3 linked regions of the Saccharomyces cerevisiae S288C genome follow. Each later gene encodes a partner of the first gene's protein in a complex. Each region holds a gene or a part of one and is shown on either strand. Other genes may lie near its edges. A codon is read from its position in the direction of its gene.

What was found. The genes of interacting proteins can lie anywhere in the genome.
Region 2: the proteins of CDC14 (region 1) and PSE1 are in contact, whole or in part, in a crystal structure (PDB 4ZJ7), measured with the Saccharomyces cerevisiae proteins. Residues at the interface, in NP_116684.3 of Saccharomyces cerevisiae: Gly547 (codon at 3,568), Ser548 (codon at 3,571), Ile549 (codon at 3,574), Lys550 (codon at 3,577), Lys551 (codon at 3,580); in NP_014039.1 of Saccharomyces cerevisiae: Arg349 (codon at 2,726), Asp353 (codon at 2,714), Ser392 (codon at 2,597), Ser393 (codon at 2,594), Glu396 (codon at 2,585), Cys429 (codon at 2,486), Asn430 (codon at 2,483), Gly433 (codon at 2,474), Gln434 (codon at 2,471), His470 (codon at 2,363), Ala473 (codon at 2,354), Ala474 (codon at 2,351), Val476 (codon at 2,345), Asn477 (codon at 2,342), Gln512 (codon at 2,237), Thr515 (codon at 2,228).
Region 3: the proteins of CDC14 (region 1) and SIC1 are in contact, whole or in part, in a crystal structure (PDB 6G86), measured with the Saccharomyces cerevisiae proteins. Residues at the interface, in NP_116684.3 of Saccharomyces cerevisiae: Phe13 (codon at 1,966), Leu14 (codon at 1,969), Arg17 (codon at 1,978), Val18 (codon at 1,981), Tyr60 (codon at 2,107), Ala63 (codon at 2,116), Val64 (codon at 2,119), Phe66 (codon at 2,125), His67 (codon at 2,128), Leu70 (codon at 2,137), Asn71 (codon at 2,140), Tyr101 (codon at 2,230), Met102 (codon at 2,233), Val105 (codon at 2,242), Gln106 (codon at 2,245), Trp108 (codon at 2,251), Gln112 (codon at 2,263), Leu159 (codon at 2,404), His160 (codon at 2,407); in NP_013180.1 of Saccharomyces cerevisiae: Ser51 (codon at 1,829), Phe52 (codon at 1,832), Asn54 (codon at 1,838), Ala55 (codon at 1,841), Pro56 (codon at 1,844), Leu57 (codon at 1,847), Leu58 (codon at 1,850), Ala59 (codon at 1,853), Pro60 (codon at 1,856), Pro61 (codon at 1,859).

The regions. Positions count from the first base shown.
Region 1 is NC_001138.5:207,913-211,997, reverse strand, and holds CDC14 (phosphoprotein phosphatase CDC14), read left to right. Parts: upstream 1-1,929; coding exon 1,930-3,585; downstream 3,586-4,085. Other genes in the region: PTR3 (Ptr3p), read right to left, coding at 1-1,061; ECO1 (Eco1p), read right to left, coding at 3,701-4,085. UniProt on the Saccharomyces cerevisiae protein: Protein phosphatase which antagonizes mitotic cyclin-dependent kinase CDC28, the inactivation of which is essential for exit from mitosis. To access its substrates, is released from nucleolar sequestration during mitosis.
Region 2 is NC_001145.3:888,452-893,829, forward strand, and holds PSE1 (importin PSE1), read right to left. Parts: upstream 3,771-5,378; coding exon 501-3,770; downstream 1-500. Other genes in the region: 1,3-beta-glucanosyltransferase GAS1, read left to right, coding at 1-231; NIP1 (translation initiation factor eIF3 core subunit c), read right to left, coding at 4,537-5,378. UniProt on the Saccharomyces cerevisiae protein: Functions in nuclear protein import as nuclear transport receptor. Serves as receptor for classical and arginine/glycine-rich nuclear localization signals (cNLS and rg-NLS) in cargo substrates.
Region 3 is NC_001144.5:285,142-288,174, forward strand, and holds SIC1 (cyclin-dependent protein serine/threonine kinase inhibiting protein SIC1), read left to right. Parts: upstream 1-1,678; coding exon 1,679-2,533; downstream 2,534-3,033. Other genes in the region: FMP25 (Fmp25p), read left to right, coding at 1-482; BOS1 (Bos1p), read right to left, coding at 595-1,326, 1,416-1,418; EMP46 (Emp46p), read left to right, coding at 2,775-3,033. UniProt on the Saccharomyces cerevisiae protein: Substrate and inhibitor of the cyclin-dependent protein kinase CDC28. Its activity could be important for faithful segregation of chromosomes to daughter cells. It acts in response to a signal from a post-start checkpoint.

The sequences.
Region 1 (4,085 bases):
GATGACGATTGCTCTGTTAGTTGGTTGAAGTTGGGACCATATTCTCCACTAGACTTGCCACATGATACTAGTTGAGGAGAGTTGTCCTTCGGATTAATCGAATAAATTTCCCACTTGTGTTCAGTAATTAGAGCAAATTTGGTGCAATCGGGAGAAATGCTTTGGTTGATGAATAATTTGGATTTCGTCCCTAGGAATTTGGGGTGTGTGTTGAACTGAAATTTTTTTCTGTACATGGGGAAACAGTTGGCAAAAAAGTACTCCTTTTCTTCGTCCAGATCATGTGCACTATTTGTTTGGTAGTTTGCTGTGGAAGGTATTGTAACGTCCGTAGACATCAAAGAGAAGTTGTTATCTATCGGCACAGTTCTTGTGTTCGAGGCATTATCCAGGATTTTCCAGTTCGCGTGGTCGTCATAGTTGGGCTCGAGTAAGCTGCTTGAGTAATTCTCCTTAGTGGTGTGTTCTTCTTGATCACGGGTGGTGCCAGTCGTGAGTGGGTGGTCCGACCCTACCTCTGTATTCGCATTATGCATCTTCGAAGCCACAATATGGAAGAGTTCGAGCAGTGATGATTTCTCCTTAACTGTAGGGTCTGATAGTGTCTTGTTATCAGCTTCTAGCCCAGCAGTGGAGGAAGAGCGCGATGGCGTTAGCGATAGTGATGATGATGATGGTGAAGTCTTTACTATAGCGGGGAGCTCATCGCTTTCGCTTTCGCCCTGTCCGGTAGTACTTCTGAAGAAGTCAATCTGACGAGCCAAATCTCGCAGCGGCTTGATGGCTGAAAGTAGTCGAACATTTTCTCGCTGACAGATGGGACACGCAGTTTGCTTGTTCGAAGTTTCCCTGCATAAATCATTGAATAGCGATTCAGATATACAGCAGCCACACGTAAGCACAGAGCAGTCTTTGACTATACCGTATTGCACATGTGATTCGTCAGTACCAGTTGCACCATCGAGTGATAGCCGTTGCGGTAGATAGAGGTCGTGTTCTATATCGTCGAGCACCCTCGCTATATCCGTCTGGCGGCCCCACTTTTGTCTATGAGAGTGCATGAACGCCTATCAGTTGTGTATTTCGTACCTATGTATGTGTGAGTGTGCGTGTGCTAAATTTTACGGGTATCTTTTCAGTGCTGATAAGGTAATCATTGATGACTACTGTAATGGTAATGTTAATAAGACGAATAACTCCTCCGCTTGAAAAAGGTGTGAAAATCAAAAGTGCGCCTCATGAAATAATGATAAAGGAATCTTTATATAGCAAAGTAATCAACAAAAACGACTCTCGGTAGCCAAGTTGGTTTAAGGCGCAAGACTGTAATTTACCACTACGAAATCTTGAGATCGGGCGTTCGACTCGCCCCCGGGAGATATTTTTTTCTGAAATTTTTTTGGCTTTATTTTTTCATTAATACACCTGTGTTAGTTATGATTGCCACTAGCTTATATACGTGACTTCTGTGACTTCTGTGACTACTGATGTGTTTTTAGTAGAATACAACTGTTTTTTTCTGTAATGCGTTTTCACATATTGGCACCAGAAAGTGTCGTTACTTTATAAAGCAAGCGACTAGAACAACAATCACACACACACACACACACACACACACACACACACACACACACACACACACACACACACACAAGCTATGAGCCTGATAACGTGAGTCATTCGTTTTTTAGCCGATAGTAGAGATATGCATTTGAAGGCCATTGCTATTGTGTCAATCAAGAAAGCTGTATCACTTTCAACGGGGAATGTACTTTTAGCACCATAAGTTTTTCTTCACTTGGTTCAAAGGTAAACAAATTGAAATTGAAACAATAATGTACCAAATATTTCCGATTCGTTCGAGGTATAATACGAAACAATTGCACAGAGGCTGGGACTACAAAGTACGCTTATAAAAAAAAAAAAAAAATGCGTAGGAGTGTATACCTCGACAACACGATCGAGTTCCTGCGAGGCAGAGTATATCTCGGTGCATATGATTACACGCCGGAAGATACTGATGAGCTGGTGTTTTTTACCGTGGAGGACGCAATCTTTTACAACAGTTTCCATTTGGATTTCGGTCCCATGAACATTGGACATCTATATCGTTTTGCCGTTATTTTCCATGAAATCTTGAATGACCCAGAAAATGCCAATAAAGCCGTTGTTTTCTATTCATCTGCATCGACCAGACAACGTGCTAACGCCGCATGTATGCTTTGCTGTTATATGATCCTCGTTCAGGCATGGACTCCGCATCAAGTGCTTCAGCCGTTGGCGCAAGTAGACCCTCCCTTCATGCCATTTAGAGATGCCGGTTATTCTAATGCGGATTTCGAAATCACAATTCAAGATGTGGTTTATGGCGTTTGGAGGGCTAAGGAAAAAGGCCTTATTGATTTGCATTCCTTCAATTTGGAGAGTTACGAGAAATACGAACACGTGGAGTTTGGAGACTTCAATGTACTCACCCCAGATTTTATTGCATTTGCGTCACCACAAGAGGACCATCCAAAGGGCTATCTCGCTACCAAATCTTCACATTTGAACCAGCCGTTTAAGTCAGTTCTGAATTTTTTCGCCAACAATAACGTCCAATTAGTGGTAAGGTTGAATTCTCATTTATATAATAAAAAGCATTTTGAAGACATTGGCATTCAACATTTGGATCTAATTTTCGAAGATGGTACATGTCCTGATCTTTCCATTGTAAAAAACTTTGTTGGTGCTGCTGAAACGATAATTAAAAGGGGAGGTAAAATTGCTGTGCACTGTAAGGCTGGGCTAGGTAGAACTGGTTGTTTAATTGGTGCTCACTTAATATACACGTATGGATTTACCGCTAACGAGTGTATTGGCTTCTTAAGGTTTATAAGGCCGGGAATGGTCGTTGGCCCTCAACAGCATTGGTTATATTTACACCAGAATGATTTTAGAGAATGGAAGTACACAACCAGAATTTCTTTGAAGCCTAGTGAGGCCATTGGCGGCTTATATCCCTTAATAAGTTTAGAAGAATACCGCTTACAAAAAAAGAAACTTAAAGACGACAAGAGGGTTGCGCAAAATAACATTGAAGGTGAATTAAGAGATTTAACCATGACGCCGCCATCCAACGGTCATGGGGCGCTTAGTGCCAGAAATTCGAGCCAACCTTCTACGGCGAATAATGGAAGTAATTCATTCAAGAGCTCAGCCGTCCCACAGACTTCGCCTGGTCAGCCGAGAAAGGGCCAAAACGGTTCTAATACTATAGAAGATATCAACAATAATCGTAATCCAACTTCCCATGCGAATAGGAAGGTAGTAATAGAAAGCAACAACTCAGATGACGAATCCATGCAGGATACCAACGGCACAAGTAATCATTATCCCAAAGTTTCGCGCAAGAAAAATGATATCTCCTCTGCTTCATCGTCCCGAATGGAAGATAACGAACCCAGCGCAACGAACATCAATAATGCCGCAGATGATACCATACTAAGACAACTATTGCCCAAGAATAGGAGAGTAACGTCAGGGAGAAGGACTACAAGCGCCGCCGGTGGTATAAGAAAAATAAGTGGCTCCATCAAGAAATAATTTATTTCATTTTTATATATATATATATCATATAATAAAAAAACTTACTAATAATAACCTTGAAAAGTTTTATGCCATTTTTCCAGTGTCCCTTCTCGCTGTCTTTTCGAAAGAGTCATATGTATACCGGCAATAGTAACTTGCCTGATTTATGCATAATGCCGTTGTATTTGCTAGCCAGTTTTCCACCGCTGTCTGTGGGTTGCGACCATGCTACCTGGTACCTAGGAATAACTTCACCGTAAACAATATTTTCTCTTGCAACGTCAATCAATTTGGTTGCGATACCCAACTTCCTTGCTGTCCTGCACACCCAAATTCTCGATATGCCAATCTTAAAATCGGGGTACACATTCTGTACCAATCTTCTAGAATCATAAACCATCCAACGTCCACGACTAGATGTTTTACCATTGCCCCCATAAAGGTTCTCTATAATTATTATTCCGACCGCCCTGTCATTTCTTATGTATACAAACGCTTTGCCTTTTTCTTCTGTG
Region 2 (5,378 bases), on another chromosome or scaffold:
GGTTCCGGAACTGAATCCAGTACTGCCTCTTCTAACGCTTCGGGGTCTTCTTCCAAGTCTAACTCCGGCTCTTCTGGTTCTTCCAGTTCTTCTTCTTCTTCTTCAGCTTCATCTTCATCTTCTAGCAAGAAGAATGCTGCCACCAACGTTAAAGCTAACTTAGCACAAGTGGTCTTTACCTCCATCATTTCCTTATCCATTGCCGCTGGTGTCGGTTTTGCTTTGGTTTAAAAAGCTTCGACACATACATAATAACTCGATAAGGTATGGTATCTTATTTCATTGTGGGGTAGTTTTTACGAAAAAAATGAAAAGTTGTAAGTATAGTATATATTTTTTTTCTATGTAAGTTTTATAAGATTCTATTCGCTATTACCACCGGTAAATTAAAAAGAACACTATTGTTACATTATATGTTTTTAAATCATCAAAAAAGACAATATTCATTTAATATTCCTTATAGAACTACTTAACATTGTTCTTCTTTCTATTAAACGTCTTTATGCAAACCATTTATGTACTTTCTCCATAATATCAGCTGGATATCTATTGAAAATTGCCATAGCATCACTAGAAGGCAAAAATCCCAACAACTTTTTAACTGAACTTATCACCGTTTGGCCTTCCCTTTCGGTCAAACTTCTCTCATTCAAGGCTTGTATGACTGAATCAACTACAGCGGAGATATTAGATTGAGCACACACAATTGGCGAATTATTTTCAATCAATTGACTCAAAAATTGATAGTTGAATGAGGCAGCTTCTTTGTCAGTTATTGTTGGTAACGTTTTGAACCAATTAGCCGTGTACGTGTCTACGTTAGGAATGTTGGAATTGTATGCATAAAGAATTTTGGCGATGGCTGCACTGGCATTCTCTGTTGAAGAACGATTTTCTTCCAGTTTGGAGCCTGGAAAATCGACAATCTGAACAAGTGTATCTAAAGTCGGTATGCAAACGTCAGCATATGTAGATGGAGCGTATTGGGCACAAACACCGATTATATAAGAAGCAGCTTGGCGAATACGAGCGTCAGGAGAAATCAAGCACTCGGTAACCTTTGGAATAAATGCGTTCTTCATGCTAGCAGTTTGTTCGCCACCATATTGAATCAAGTCACCAATCACTACTAATGCAAAAATGACTAAAATTGGTTCATTATCTAAAAGGAATGTGTTTATCATAGGCCATATATTCTCCAAATTCTTTAGATAATGACCATTTGTGGTTTTCAAAACGGCCGCGATAGACTTGTTGATTTCATCGAGAAGATCTTCGTCAGTAAAGTCTTCCTCTTCATCAATATTTTCATTATATTCATCACCATCACCATGGCGATCCTGCATCCTTTCGTAAGTGTCAGTTAAGTTGGCGGAGACACCCTTAGTAAATGCCGCTAATTGGTCTTCGCTTAAGCAATTGTCACCCATGACTTTAATACCATTCACTAACGAGTTGTGATAAACTTGCGTGATTTCTGGCATTGGTTCTGACATTAAGCCTCCGATTAGTTTAGACGAAGCTTTATGCCACAACAATACCAATTCCTCGTTTTGAGTACCGGTGGCTGCAAGTAAACAAGATAATAGAATAGGAATTAAAGTTGCTCCTGCAGCACGAACACCGTCATGTAGGTAAAAGTCAAGCGATGGTAGAGCTATTTCTTCCATTACTTCTTTAACATATACAGCAAATTGGCCTCTTAAAAGTGTCGCATAGCTTTGTAATAGCTCCATTGCTGATACTTTATCGTCAAGGACGGATGTGTGAATAGCAATGTGTTTTCCCTGAACTTGAACAACATCCCAATCTGGATATTGTTGGAAATTTGCTGCTTCTTCTTCTTCAATTAAACCGACGTCTTGCGTTGCTTTGGCAGTAATTAGCAGGGGTGGTATAACAATCGGTAACAACGGAACAAAATCATCACCCAGAATTCGGCAAATCCTGCTCCAACTTTGTTCTAAGTATGATCTGAGCGCATCATCTTCATCGATATCTGAGTTTTGTAAAGCGACCAATATAGAAATCAGCTCTTGAGAGTGCTCATGAAATTTTTCCTTACCAACGGCAAAACCAATCAGAGTTGCACATTCCATACATTTACCTTTCAAAACACTATTATCTTTATTGTTAACCTTCAAAACATTTAATAATAATGGCATTAGAGTATCGTAATACTTGATAAATTTATTCTTTGCAGCTTCAGCAATAAATGCAATGGTTGTTAGGGCCTGTTCCTGTACGTAAAGTTTGTTGCTTTGTAATAAAACTAATAAATTTGTCAATAGACTATCCAAGTAAGGCTCAAGAATATCCTTCGAAGCGAATTCAGAAAAGTTAACCAGAGCCGCTGCGGCGTGCGTTTGAACTCTTGAGGTGCATTCTGACGTTAGTTTAGATATTAAAGCCGGCAAAATTCTATCGTGTGCAGTTCTTTGAATGAATGGTGAAAAATCAGTAGATATTTGACCCAAAACATTACAACATCCATACTGTACTCTTGGATGAGGATCGTTGATGAGGGGAATTACCATATCCAGGATTTTTGGGATCTCGCCGATCAGAACATCAGCACAACCCTCAGCTGCAGAGGAAAGTGCCATCATGGCCGCGAATCTTTCTCTCCATTCGGTTGATGTGATCATTTGCTGTAAATATTGGAACAATGGTGCAGCCAAATATTCACCACCCAGCTTTAAAGCAACACGATCAAGAGCTTGACGAGCGTGGTCATATGTAACTTCCTCTTCATCATCGGTATCGTCAGATTCTATCCATTCTGCTGCATCATCATCATCTATGGATACCTCCGTCATCATGATTAAAGTAACCATCACTAAAGTTTGCCCGTAATTCTGGTTCGATTTACACATTTGGGGAGCGTTCTCGCTGAAAACGGTTAGCAGTTCGAGTGCTGTGGTTCTTGCTGGAGGTTCTAAATCCTTATTTTTTATAACCATATCAGTGAATTGTATTATTTGGTCAAACATATCCTTGAATAGTTTTGGTGCCAATTCCACCAACTCAATTAACGATTCAAAAACTGATGCAAGGGCATCGTCCTTACCATCATCTAAAAATCTTGGTAAACTATTCAAAAGACTTGGTAATAAAATACCTAACTTGGACCACTCAGATTTTGGTAGTTGCTTAAAATAACCCACGAAAGCCGTAACTGCAGCAATTTTGACATTATCACTTGCATCAGTAAAGCCTGATTGAAAAATTGGTAAGATACTGTTGATGTCAACAGCGGTAATTAAATAAGGTACAGTCGTCAAAATTCTAAAACTGGATTCTCTAAAATTTGGGTTACCGCTTTTTAAAGACTCTATTAAAGCTTGTAGTAATTCTGGCCATGCTGGTAAGTCGTCTTGAACACACTCAGCAATAGCATCAGATAGTTTGTGCCTAATTGAATCAGCTCTTTCCGACAAAAACCCTTTTAACAATGAAGAACGAATTTGTGCAAGAACTTCTTTCCTAATATGTGTGATATTTTTGGACATAATCATAAGCTTCGAAGAAGGGGGAGCTTTTAATGCTAATTTTCTAAACAGAACAGCAGATAATGCTGCAACTGTTGTATCTTGGGAGAAAGCGGCTTGTTCAGCCAAAAAAGTTAAAAGATACTCAATATTGTTTTCGGTAATCCATTCTTCACTAAGAGCCTTCTCAGCTACAGAACGTATTTGATTGTCAGGGGAAGCAAACGCCTGGACAATCTGAAGTAATGTTCTATTAACTTCTTCCGGTAAAGCAGACATAGCGATGGCTCTAGTTACGGTTGAAATCACGTGTCGTTAGGATAAAGTGGCTTGCAAGCTAATTACTTTTGTTTGGGCTATCTGCCACTTTGATCTACTCAGTCTATTAGCCACTCGGTATCTGAAGAGCGCCGAACTTCGATCACTGTTATAGCTGTCTATAATACTATAGTGATTATTGGACCGTCTGGTATTAGTATTCCCATTTTTTTAGTGAATTTCATTTTTCTTTTTTTCCTGGGTAGAAAATGAAAAATTTTTCAGTTTCTGCAAAGAATTGATATCGTGCGTCATGATGATAATACCGATTTACTGCAGTTCGTACAATTTATTTTTTTTTTTAGAATGTCAAACAGATAGTCCATGATAGGCTATTGGATTATTTATCAACACTCATGATCCATATATTTTGAGATTATATTTGATGAAGAAATAAAGCGGCATATCATACTTTTCTTAAAGTTTAATAGTTTGTATTATATTATAAAGAGTGTTTACGTAACAAAAAAAACTATATATATATTTGCTTATGTGTAATGTACAGTGAAGACGATTAGATTCAAACCCTAAAACTAAAAATAAAGAGATCGCTAAAAGAATCGAAAAAAAAAAAGATGAGCAATATCAAGAATAAAAAGCAAAAGTGAATATGGTTTATACTCTCCTGCTTAGTTTCCTTCTATATTTTTTGGTTGCTGATGTTATTCTTCTATCTACAATGATTTTTTGTTAAGAATGCTTTCGAAGTAGTTTTTGATTTTATTGATCAACGACGATTTGATGGTGGGTTAAGACGTTCTTTAGCGATTTTATATTCTTTGTTCAATTTTACCATTGCTTCTTCCAATTTAGTAATTTCATCACCCTTTTCGACAACAAAGATGGTCTTCTCGTCGTTTAATTTGGCTGGGATTTCCAATTCTGCGATAACAGATTGCAAAACTTCAACCACCTTATTTTCTGGAAGATCAAATAATTCGGCTAGTTTAGCAACAGAAAAACTTGAATAGAACCTCTTGAAAGAAAAGAAATAAGTCTTCAAAGATTCAACTTGTACTCTTTCCGTTAAACTATTCAACACCGTTTCCATGTTTGGTAATAAAGCCCAAGATTTTATTTCTCTTAAGTATTTAACAGAGTCTCTCCAGTTACCTTTTTGCATTGATTTGGCAGCAAACAAGACATAATCTCTTAAAGTTTCTGGTGGACCTTGGAAACTTAACTTGTCGTAATGTTCTAAGGAACGACGAATGGATTTTGGAGAGTAAGGAATTCTCTTGACCTTAATACCGGAATAGAAGGCAGTCATTCTTGGAATTTCGATCAATAAGGAACATGTTAAGAAGACGACATCGATTAAATCGAGATTGATGTGTTGGTGATATGGCAAACATTGTCTAGCACGCTCATCAGCTGAAGCATTGTTACTAGAATTGAGAGATATTCTGTGTAGGGATTGTTGGCCCAAAATTTCTCTTAAGTGAGAACTTGACAGAAGATCATTCAAAATTTGATGACATTCTTCAATCAAACATAATTTAAAGGCGGATAGACCCAATTGAACAACAACCCTGTTGAATAAAATTTGTAGGGATGAATCGAATTGGT
Region 3 (3,033 bases), on another chromosome or scaffold:
CATTTAAACCGCATTTCCCGGGGATGACGAATTGGAAATGTGTGGATATTCATTGTGATGATGAAACATCGTTTGTGACCATTCGTAAGCCTGGCTCAACGTCAGACCATCATTATTTCGCGTTTGGTAATGGACTTTTTGGTGAATTGGGCAACAACACTTTCAAGAACTCGCAATGTGATCCCATAAAAATCAAGTCGGATGACAAGAAATTGACCAACTGGAGTTGCGGCTCTCATTGTGTGTTCACTGAAACTGAACAAGAAAACGAGGTCATTGCATGGGGTAATAACGACCATGGCCAACTAGGTATTGGAAAGAAAACTATGAAATGCGCTAAGCCAATGAACATTCCCGAAGTTCTCAAACCAGGACAAGACACGACAGATTTGGACTCAATTTATAACAGTAAATTACACTTAAAAAAGGAGCAACGTGTAGTCACCAATGGTAATAAAAGTTGCTTATACTGGCGGGTTTGAGAAACGAAAGAGCATAGAAGGAAAGTAGCGAGATTCGCGATGTTTTTTCAACCCTTATAATGATGCATGTATATATGGTATGTTTATTTATATATAGAACTCACGGTTACTTCTATCTTAACCATTTCAACACATAATAAATACCTATGATCAAGAGAATTAACGCGATCCAAAAGACTAGTTTATCTTTGAACACCCGTTTATTGATAGAGGTGATAGTTTGTTCCGAAACACCCAATGTTCTTAGGCCATTTGACATTCTATCTTGTACCTTGGATAAAATTTTGTTTTGTTCCACTATATTTTCGAATGATTGTTGGCCCATTTCTAGAATGTAATCTAATTGAGCGTTACCCCTTTCGAAAACAGACTGTTCCTTTTGTAGCCCTTGGTACAACGGTAGTCCCCCACCGTTGCTAGAGCCCTCTTTACCATTTGCACTCGCACCACCAACGTTCCTTTTATTCATGATGGTCTCTGATGTACTAAAGGGGTTATCGGAGTCCATAACATGCGATGCTCCTGAGCCAAACAACTGAGTTCTGGAATTATTTTCGTTGTAGGATTGTTTTAAATCCTTAAACTTGGCAGTAAAGTCGTGCAGATCCTGTGTTAAAGTTGCTAGTCGATTAGCGAACTTAGGATCAATTTCCTCTGCATTAGTATCTTCTTTATATCTGTTTAAATGTTCTGCATATTGCTTAACTGTTTTCTCCAGTGAGACCAGAGTTGCAGAGATGGACCCTTGTAAAGAAATAGGGGCGGTCACAGAATTCTTTTCAAACCTGGCCAACTCTTGTTGTAGTTGATTTTTTTGCTTCACAGCATGGTTGTAAAGAGCGTTCTATTTGATGGTAGTAGCAAAATACCCTGTTAGTATTACATCTTGTTTTAGCAATAATGAGAAAAGATGCCTCCGGCGATCAAACATACCATTCCCCCCTCAAATCAATATGATTAAGTCACGATAATATCTGCACTATTGCCGTGTTTCCTTCTCCATCGACAGCGTCGATCCTGTCTATTATAGCCAGCACACTGAAAATTTCAATGGCTGGCTTGTTGTTCGCGTCGCAACTTTTGATATTTATAAAAAGAGAGAAGGCATATCCAAAGGATAAGGTATTGTCTTTGTAAATCAATCAACCAAACCTCTACGGAATTTTGACCCTTGAAGCAGGGACTATTACACGAAAATGACTCCTTCCACCCCACCAAGGTCCAGAGGGACTAGGTACCTTGCGCAGCCTAGTGGCAATACTAGTTCTAGTGCCCTAATGCAAGGTCAAAAGACCCCCCAAAAGCCTTCACAGAACCTAGTCCCTGTCACTCCCTCAACAACTAAGTCTTTTAAAAATGCGCCATTATTAGCACCTCCCAATTCGAACATGGGTATGACCTCTCCATTTAATGGGCTTACGTCTCCTCAACGCTCGCCGTTTCCAAAATCTTCAGTGAAGAGGACACTATTCCAATTTGAAAGTCATGATAATGGAACAGTAAGGGAAGAGCAGGAACCATTGGGTCGTGTAAATAGGATATTGTTTCCCACGCAGCAAAATGTGGATATAGATGCAGCAGAAGAAGAAGAAGAAGGAGAAGTTCTTCTTCCCCCCAGCAGACCTACATCTGCCAGGCAGTTACATTTATCACTTGAAAGAGATGAGTTTGATCAGACACATAGAAAGAAGATTATTAAAGATGTACCTGGTACGCCCAGCGACAAGGTGATAACATTTGAATTGGCAAAAAATTGGAACAACAACTCTCCGAAAAATGACGCCAGGAGTCAAGAAAGTGAAGACGAGGAAGACATCATCATCAATCCAGTGCGGGTGGGTAAAAATCCCTTTGCATCAGATGAACTGGTCACTCAGGAAATTAGAAATGAACGTAAAAGGGCAATGTTGAGAGAAAACCCAGATATAGAAGACGTAATAACATATGTCAATAAGAAGGGAGAGGTGGTAGAGAAACGAAGGTTAACGGATGAAGAAAAGAGAAGATTCAAGCCAAAGGCATTGTTTCAATCTAGGGATCAAGAGCATTGAAGAAATGAAAAAAAAAAGTTTCTGGAACGATTATATTTTATTTACTTACTTATTCTACATTTATTTGCAAAGGGGCATTAACATCAACATTTTACATATTATAATATATACAGGATATTCTATATTACAACATTAACAGGATTTTTAACTTTTCCTTACCGTATTCTTTTATTCTGGTTTTCTGTCTTCAGAATAATAGCATATTTCATTGTAGTATTTCGTCAAAGCGAGTTAGGGGAGGATGACTACAAGAAAGACAGCTTCCTCTCTTCAGCTTTTAGGGAAAATCACAGGAACAAAAGCTGGAACTAAGCAAAAGAAGATGAATTTCATTAATGGACTGATATGGTTATATATGTGTGTGTGGATGGTACACGGAAAAGTGACGCAGAAGGATGAATTGAAATGGAATAAAGGATACTCGCTACCAAATTTGCTAGAAGTGACAGATCAGCAAAAAGAACTTTCACAATGGACTTTGGGTGACAAAGTAAAACTTG